2 linked regions of the Diceros bicornis minor genome follow. The protein of the gene in region 2 interacts with the protein of the main gene of each other region in a pairwise test. Links are inferred from orthologs where the notes say so. Each region holds a gene or a part of one and is shown on either strand. Other genes may lie near its edges.

Evidence for each region. The genes of interacting proteins can lie anywhere in the genome.
Region 1: the proteins of EHMT2 (region 2) and MX2 interact in binary tests that used the Homo sapiens proteins (3 or more experiments, as listed by UniProt). The two-hybrid records come from large-scale screens. The link is inferred for Diceros bicornis minor from reciprocal best matches to the Homo sapiens genes EHMT2 and MX2.

Annotation. Positions count from the first base shown.
Region 1 is NC_080766.1:41,125,626-41,129,371, reverse strand, and holds the start of MX2 (interferon-induced GTP-binding protein Mx2), read right to left. Parts: upstream 2,614-3,746; 5' UTR 2,531-2,613; intron 2,502-2,530; exon of another isoform or gene 2,347-2,501; intron 1-2,346.
Region 2 is NC_080753.1:32,916,985-32,920,730, reverse strand, and holds the start of EHMT2 (histone-lysine N-methyltransferase EHMT2), read right to left. Parts: upstream 2,586-3,746; 5' UTR 2,565-2,585; coding exon 2,285-2,564; intron 2,189-2,284; coding exon 1,982-2,188; intron 1,883-1,981; coding exon 1,629-1,882; intron 833-1,628; coding exon 748-832; intron 656-747; coding exon 615-655; intron 502-614; coding exon 346-501; intron 1-345. UniProt on the Homo sapiens protein: Histone methyltransferase that specifically mono- and dimethylates 'Lys-9' of histone H3 (H3K9me1 and H3K9me2, respectively) in euchromatin.

The DNA of each region.
Region 1 (3,746 bases), on a different chromosome or scaffold from region 2:
AAGCCCCAGAGGAGTCTCGGCAGGTCTGAGTAGCCAGAATCCCAGCACCCTGGGCCCATCTCCTGGCCCAGGGCCTGGCCTCCTGACCTGCCCTGGCCCCGGGTTCTGCTGAGTTCCACAGCCGCGCAGGCTCACGCCGGCAGAATGGAGAACACTGCAGTTAATTAGAAAATTTCTCCTCCTTTGACCTGGCACCTTGTGCTGAATCTGGAAGATCCCCAGACAGACCTGTGGGACTATTTTGTCTCCTTTCTTACTAATTAGGAAATTAGTTTCTCCTAAAAGCAGAATATAACAAGAAAAATCTGGCTCCCTGAGATTTCAGCAGCTTCCAGGAAAGAGGAAGATGTTATTACTCACGGATCCAAGTCTAAACCTTCATTCTATTCTCGGCTTAGCCCCGTGGTTCTATGTGAACCACAGGGGAAGAGATAAAAGTCTGATTGTCCTGCAAAACCTTCCAGAATTGGTCACATATCATGGGAGACCGTGTGGCCTGAATTTCTTCTTCCTGCTAGTGGCGTGACCTGGAGAGGCCACCAGTGTCCTGAGATAATCTCCCCCAGTGATGCCAAGGATTGCTGGCAACAACCAGAAGCTGGAAGAAGCCAGGAAGGATTCTATGCAGTCTCAGAAGGAACCAAAACCCGCTGACGCCTTGATCTCAGACTGCCAGCCTCCAGACCCAGGAGAGATTACATTTCTGTTGTTTACACCACCGAGTTTGTGGTGTTTCTTACGGCAGCCCCAGGAACCTAATACTTCTTGGTTTGTACCTAACCTGTTCCCCTAAATGTCTTCCTTTGCTGGGAAGAGGTGGAATCAATGTCTCTTTCTAAAAATTTGAAGGCATAATAATTTAACTCTGTATGTTACAATAGGGAAGAAACAAATGCTAGAAATCAGGTGCCCTCTCCCTCAGCAGAGCCACCTTTCCAGCACACCACTGAGGGTGGCCTGTGCCACCAATACCACAAGCAAGGGGCCTCCTGAAGCCCTGAACGTAGGCTTTGGGGCTCCAATTCTGACACCAATTCCGATGTGGGTTTTTTTTCCGACACCACCAAGCAATTAACTCAATTCCGACACTATCTACAGGAGATAGTATCAGATTCCACAGGGTAAGGACTCAGTCCTACCAGCTGGCTCCGCCTCCCGCCCCCTCATCCCGCCCACTTCAGATGCCAATCACAAGGCCAGGTTGTCACCTGTGCTTCTGACCAATGGGCTATAGATGGGAGGTTCCCACCACCCCTGCTTGGGTTTGAATAATGTGCTAGAGCAGCTCACAGAACTCAGATAAACATTTTCCTTACTGGATTATGAGTTTATTATAAAAGGATATAACTCAGGAACAGCTAGATGGAAGAGATGCATAGGGCAAGGGATGGGGAAAGAGTGCAGAGCTCCCATGCCCTCTCCACAAGCACCGCTCTCCCCAAATCTCCCCGTGTTCACCAACCTGGAAGCTCTCCTAACCCTGTCCTTTGGGGTTTTTATGGAGGCTCCATTCCATAGGCATGATTGATTACATCATTGGCCATTGGAGATTGATTCAACCTCCAGACCCACTCCCAGGGTTCAGGGGTGGGACCGAGGTGCCCACTCTCCAATCACAGGGCTGGTTCTCCTGGCGACCAGCCCCCATCCTAAGGTGCATTCCACAAGTCACCTCATTAACATAACAAAAGATAATGCTCCTTTCACTTAGGAAATTTCAAGAGTTTTAGGAGTTCTGTGGCAGGAAAGAGGATGAAGACCAAATAATACATTTCCTTTTTTCCCCCAGTGTTTGTATATATTGCGAAATGATCACCACAATAAGTCTAGTTAACACTGGGCTCCATACATAGTTACAACACTCTTTCTTGTGATGAGGACTTTTAAGATCTACTCTCTTAGCAACTTTCAAACATGCAATAGAGTATTAACTATGGGAATGTAACATACAGCATGGTGACTACAGCTAATATATTTCTTATTATAAATCACAATGTCTCCGGGGCACAAAGCTCCCGCCCAATGCCCGGATGTGTGCACTCCACGGATGCCCAGCAAAGGTGTCCCAAAATCCACCCCTTCGTGGCCACAAGGCTTTTGGCCAGATTTGGGAAGGGGGGCCGCCCTGTGCTCCCAGACCAGCCACTTCTCTCCTAGAATCTGCCCTCTGCATGCAGGGTTGGCTGGGGGCCAGCGGCAACACGGGCGTTTCTGAGTCTCTCGGGAGCAGCTGCAGAAACTTATCTTTATGGCTCCTGCCTTCCGGCACAAGCCACGTTTACAGGGAAATCCTTTTAAAAGGCACCTCTGCTGCATGAACACACCCCCGCACCAGCCCACTCTTACCTGTGCGCCTCCAGATCAGAGACCAGGCAACTCATATCTCTCCCTTGCTCTGATTCCCTTTTATCTGGTGTGTGAACCCCTCCTCCCCACGCTATTTTCCCTTTGCCGACAGCCAGAGAAATGAAACTAATGGCCTGACCACAGAAATGAAACCGAAAAATCGACACGCTTTCCGGTGACTCACACAGTGGTCCTCAGATTCAAGCTGCATCAGAGTCTCCGGCGAGTGGGGGGCTTGTGAACACACCACAGGGCTGGGGGCTGGGGGCTGGGGGCTGGGGGCTGGGGGCTTGGCCCACTCCAAGGATCTGATGCTGCAGATCAGGGGCCAGCCGAGAATCTGCATTGCTAACAAGTTTTCGGGGGAGGCTGATGCTGGGCCACACTTGGAGATCCAGGGACTCAGCCGCGCTGTCCCGTGGGACTTTCTGTGATGATGGAAATGTTCTATTCTTCGCTGTCCAATTTGGGAACCACACTGAGCATTTGAAATGTGGCCAGTGTGATGGAGGAACTGAATGTTTTATTCTTTTTAATTCTAATTAACTTAATAGCCACTGTGGATGTGGCTCCCCTAGCGGACGGTGCAGGGCATGGAGATGTTTACTCAGGTATGTGATCTGAAAGTTCTGAGACATCCGGCTGGCATGGAGCCTGAGCCACACCAGCAAATGTCACCCTCTCCCCTGTTAAATGCTGAATATCCAGAGAAGGGAAGTAAGTCCACAGCTTCCCAAAATGACCCATTTGCGCAATGCATACCCTCACACTCCAGTAGTTCCCACACCCTTTAAGAGTTCTCGCTCCCCTGTGGGAAAGGAAGAGGGCTGCCCCGCACTAGACACGGGCTTCAAGCCAGGAACTCAGCCCCGAGCCAGAGTGATCTTCTGGTCCTGCTACTTCATCTGCAAAAATGCGGGCATGCGCCTAAGTGGTCCGCAAGGTCCCCCTGCTCTGTGATCCAAGCGCCGGTGAGCCAGGTGTTCCCGTCACCAAGGCGCAACTGTTGGGAACCCCAGGAGCCCTCAGCATGGGGGCGGGGGAGTGGGATGACGCAGAAGGGAAGAAGCAGCCCTCAGTCTCGGTTTCACTCTCGCGATCATCTCCAAAACGGAAATTAACATTATAAATTAAGAAAAAAAATCCTGAGCATCTCTTCGCTCATTCACTTTACTTACTGCCCTTGTGGGCAAGTTTTTCTTAAAGAAGGAATTTAGAGGCTTAAAAAAAATGTTTTTACCATTAGGAGGTCACAGGGAGGCAGTGTTCAGGGTCTGCACCGCAGGACCGAACACTGACCCGAATCACTCCAGAGTCCCCGGCGGAGGCTGAGAGCGAGGCGAAGGCTGAGCGCGGAGGCACTGCGCAACCGAATTGGCAGTGGGATAGTTTTTTTGCTT
Region 2 (3,746 bases):
CGTTAAATGAAAGCAAGACAGGCAAGACTAAGCACTATATCACATAATCAAACATGTATGAGACAAAACCAAACAAAAAGCAAAAGAAAAAACAAATAACAAATAAACCATAAAATGGGGTGCTGAACCCAAAGTCCACGATGGTGGTCACCACTGTGGAGAGAGGTAAAGGGATGGAATGGCGTGGAACACACACTGGAAATAAGTTATAGACAGGATGCGGCAGTAAATTAGTGGCTGTTCAGAAGATAAGAAGGAAAGAGAGAAAAAGGGGGCAGGCAAGACTGGAGAGCAAGCCCTGGATGAGGTGAGGTGCTGGCCAGGAGGGCAGCCGCTCCCTCTCACCTTGCTGTCAGAGTCCACACGCTCATCCACAGAGTAGGAATCGTAGTAGAGGCTGAAGTCGTCACCTACTACTGTCTCCCACTCCTCCAGGGACCCGGGGTTCCCCTTCTCCAGGGTCACTTCTCCCGAACCCCGGGCAGAACCCAACTCCTCCGACTAGAAAAAGATAAAAAAATTGAAGCTGCTCCCCCCCACCCATCAACCTCCCATTTCCTGGAAGGGCAGCCCCCCAGGCGGAGAGGGCTTGTTCCCTGCCTCTCCTGGCTCACCAGGCCACCTCCTGAATTCAGCTTCCTCCTCTTGGCCACATCTGGAAGGAGAGAGAGAAAGGCGTGAGGTCTGTGCTCTAACCTGTCAGGACAGGCCAGACCAAGCCTCAGGTGGGTGGGGGGTGGGACTGACCTGAGGTCACCTTCCCCAACGAGTGCACATCATCACTCATGCGGAAATGCTGCACTTCAGGGGGCCGCTTCTCAGGGACTAGGGGCTGGGGGCAAGAGGGAGCACATTTAAGGTCAGGGAGCCTTTAGCCTGGAACCCCAAGTGGGGGTGGGGTGGTGAGCCACACCCTCAAAAATGCCCTCTGAAGCTCCAGTAACCAGAACATGAACTGCTGTATCCTGGGAGGAAGTGTGTCAAGCACATCCCATACCTAACACTCACTCACCTCTTCACACAGAAGCAAGCCCTTTCTCCCCATTTTACAGGTGAGAAAACGAAGGTTAAGGCCTTCACCAAAGCTACCCAAACCACACCCAGAACAAAATGATATGCAGAACCCTAAGAACACTGTCATAAAGCTTCTGAGATTCTGGGGCCTTTGTCATTTTCCTCCTCTGTCATTTCTGTGGCCCTCATCTCCTTCCCTGTAGAGATTTATAGTAAAATCTTTAAAAATGGAGCAGGGGCAGCTTCAAAGAAGGGAGGAAAAGTTCCCTTGAGACTTGCTTTGAGGTAGAAAGGAAGAGTGGTTTAAAGTTTCTTTACATAGTCATTACCATAAGAGTAATTAAGGCATTAACTACATAATTAGCTCATTGACATTTCTCTCTTCTACTCCCCTCTCCCCAAGAATGTTAACTCCAGAAAGACAGGAAGGAATATGTCTGTTCACAGATTAAGCCCCAGCCTAGAATTTGACACACAGTAGCCCCTTGGTAAATACATCAGGCTGTGAATAGATTAGAGACCGCTTAAAGCTAAATTGTAGAAAAGCCCACAAGGGGTTTACGGTTGATTACCCCTGTCTCTCCCACTCCCAGCAGCCCTCCCCCAATCCTCACCTGTCCATTGCCTGGTTTGGACATGGTTTTCCTGGCTCGGTGGACCTTGGGCTGCCCCTCTGGGCTGGTTGTAGCTGGAGGGGGTTCAGGCCCTGCTGCTACTGCCCCCTGGGCCCCCGGCATACTCAGCAGCCTCATAGCCAAACTCTGGACTGATGGGGGTGATTTTCCAGCCCCTGTCATTGACATCTTGGCCCGGCTGGGACAGGCACCCCCCTTGCTGGGAGAAGACGGGAAGGACTTTGTGGCATGGCCTGGAAAACAGACAGGGCAGGCAGGCAGAAGGCAAGATAAGAGGGAAGGCAGAGTCAGAGGATACCCCACCTCACCCCCTAGACTCCCCAGCCTCTCACCCAGCAGGATGCGGCCCCCATCTCCCTCGAGATTCTCCGGTTCATCCCCAATAAGCGGTGTGGCCCCTACAGGAGTGTCAGCCCCCTCATCACCAACGGTCACGGTGACAGAGGCTGGGGATGACGCGCCAGTAGGCTCCAGGGAGTCGGGGTTGGCCTTGGGCAGGGTCTCCTCACTACGAGGGGTGTCCCCCAAAGAGCCATGAACTGAAAGGGAAGAAAAAAGTTCAGGTTTAAGGGCTCAAGGAATCCTGTGCTGTGGGAGGTGAAGGTCCAACCGGGCCGTTTCTGCCAGAAACTCACCTCTGTCGCTGGCTCCTCTGGGCTCCTTCTCCAGCACCAGCGCCCCCATCTCAGCGGGGGCCTCCCCCTGGGAGGGGACACAAGGGATAGGAGGACTGGTCAGCCCAGTAGGAAGTTGGGGGGCCCAGGACGCCTGGGCCCTGGGAAGAGAGAGTAGGCTCCGGGGCCTACCTCTTCCTCTATGGGGGCCCCCCCTTCCGCGGCCTCGGCTGCCCGGAGGGGCCGCACGACCTCTCCCCCGGGCCCGCATCAACCCCCTCCCTCTCGGTAGACCCCGCATCTCAGGGGCCGAGAAGAGAGAAGGGGGAGGGGGCGGGGCCTCCGCGCCCCGGCCCCGCCCCCTCCTCCCGGCTGCACGCGCCGCTCCCCCTTTGTCCCCCAGGCCGCGGGGACCCCGGGCACCAACCCCTCCAGCGCCCGCTGCCCCCCAGCCCGGTGGACGGCCCCTCGTGCCCCTCGCGCGTGCTCCTGGGGCCCCGGCGCCCGCCACCCACTCGGGGGCAGCCGGCGGCTGCACGCGCGCCTCCGTGCCCACTCCCCCCACCTCCCACCCCCTGGTCCCCTCATCCGCCCCCAGTGCTGGCCCTCCGGATTGCTGCAAGTCCCGCCCGGGCCCCCCGGCCCCGTTGCACCCCCGGAGCATTGCACGGGCGCGCGCTTCCCCCGGGCGCGCGCGCGGGCATGCACCCGCCTCTCCCCCTCCCCTTCCGCACCTCGGCGGCCGCCGCCGCTGCAGCTCCCGCCGCCGCCGCCATCGCCGCTTGCGCGGGGGGCCGAGCCGGCGCGCGGCCGCCCCGGGTCACGTGGGCGGGAGAGGGCGGGCTAGGAGGAGCCTTAAAGGAGCCAGTACGTGCTTTCTGGCCTTTTTCCCCGAGAGCGGCCTTGGAGACGGCAGTGGCTGTTCTAGGCTGGGGGCTGCAGGGGAGAATTCCTTCCATTCCTGGCCTCGCCTCAGCGGGGAACCGAAGGCGAGGCACGCCTGGGTCCACGTGTGGCTTCTGCATCCCCCCTCTGGTTTTAGGTAACAAGCGGAGCGTCTGACTCTCCCGGCTCTCGGCAGCGGTTCTATTTCCAATCTGGCCTGCGTGTGCTTCTCCCGCTTCTGGTTGCTTTCAGTTTCTGGGTCACCAGATGGAAGGCTCGGCCTCAGTTTTGGCCTCGCTTCTCTAACGAGCAAGAAGGAGGCGATGGGGACGCGCGGAGGACACCTTTCCTCTTGGCTGGTTCTAGCATGCTGCTTCATGTCCCCTGGAGCAGCGTCCCCTTTTGAAAACCTGGGGCTAAATGTCTGTTATGTTTATGCCAGACATGTTACGCCACCACATGCATAGGAATCCAGGTGAGCCCCCCAGCGGCCTAAGAGTCATTAGTGTCTGGTGACACTCTAGTAACCTTTTTTGACAAACACTTCACTAGCAGAGTCAGGCACTCCGTGGGTCATAGCCCAGCCGAAAGTGGAAGT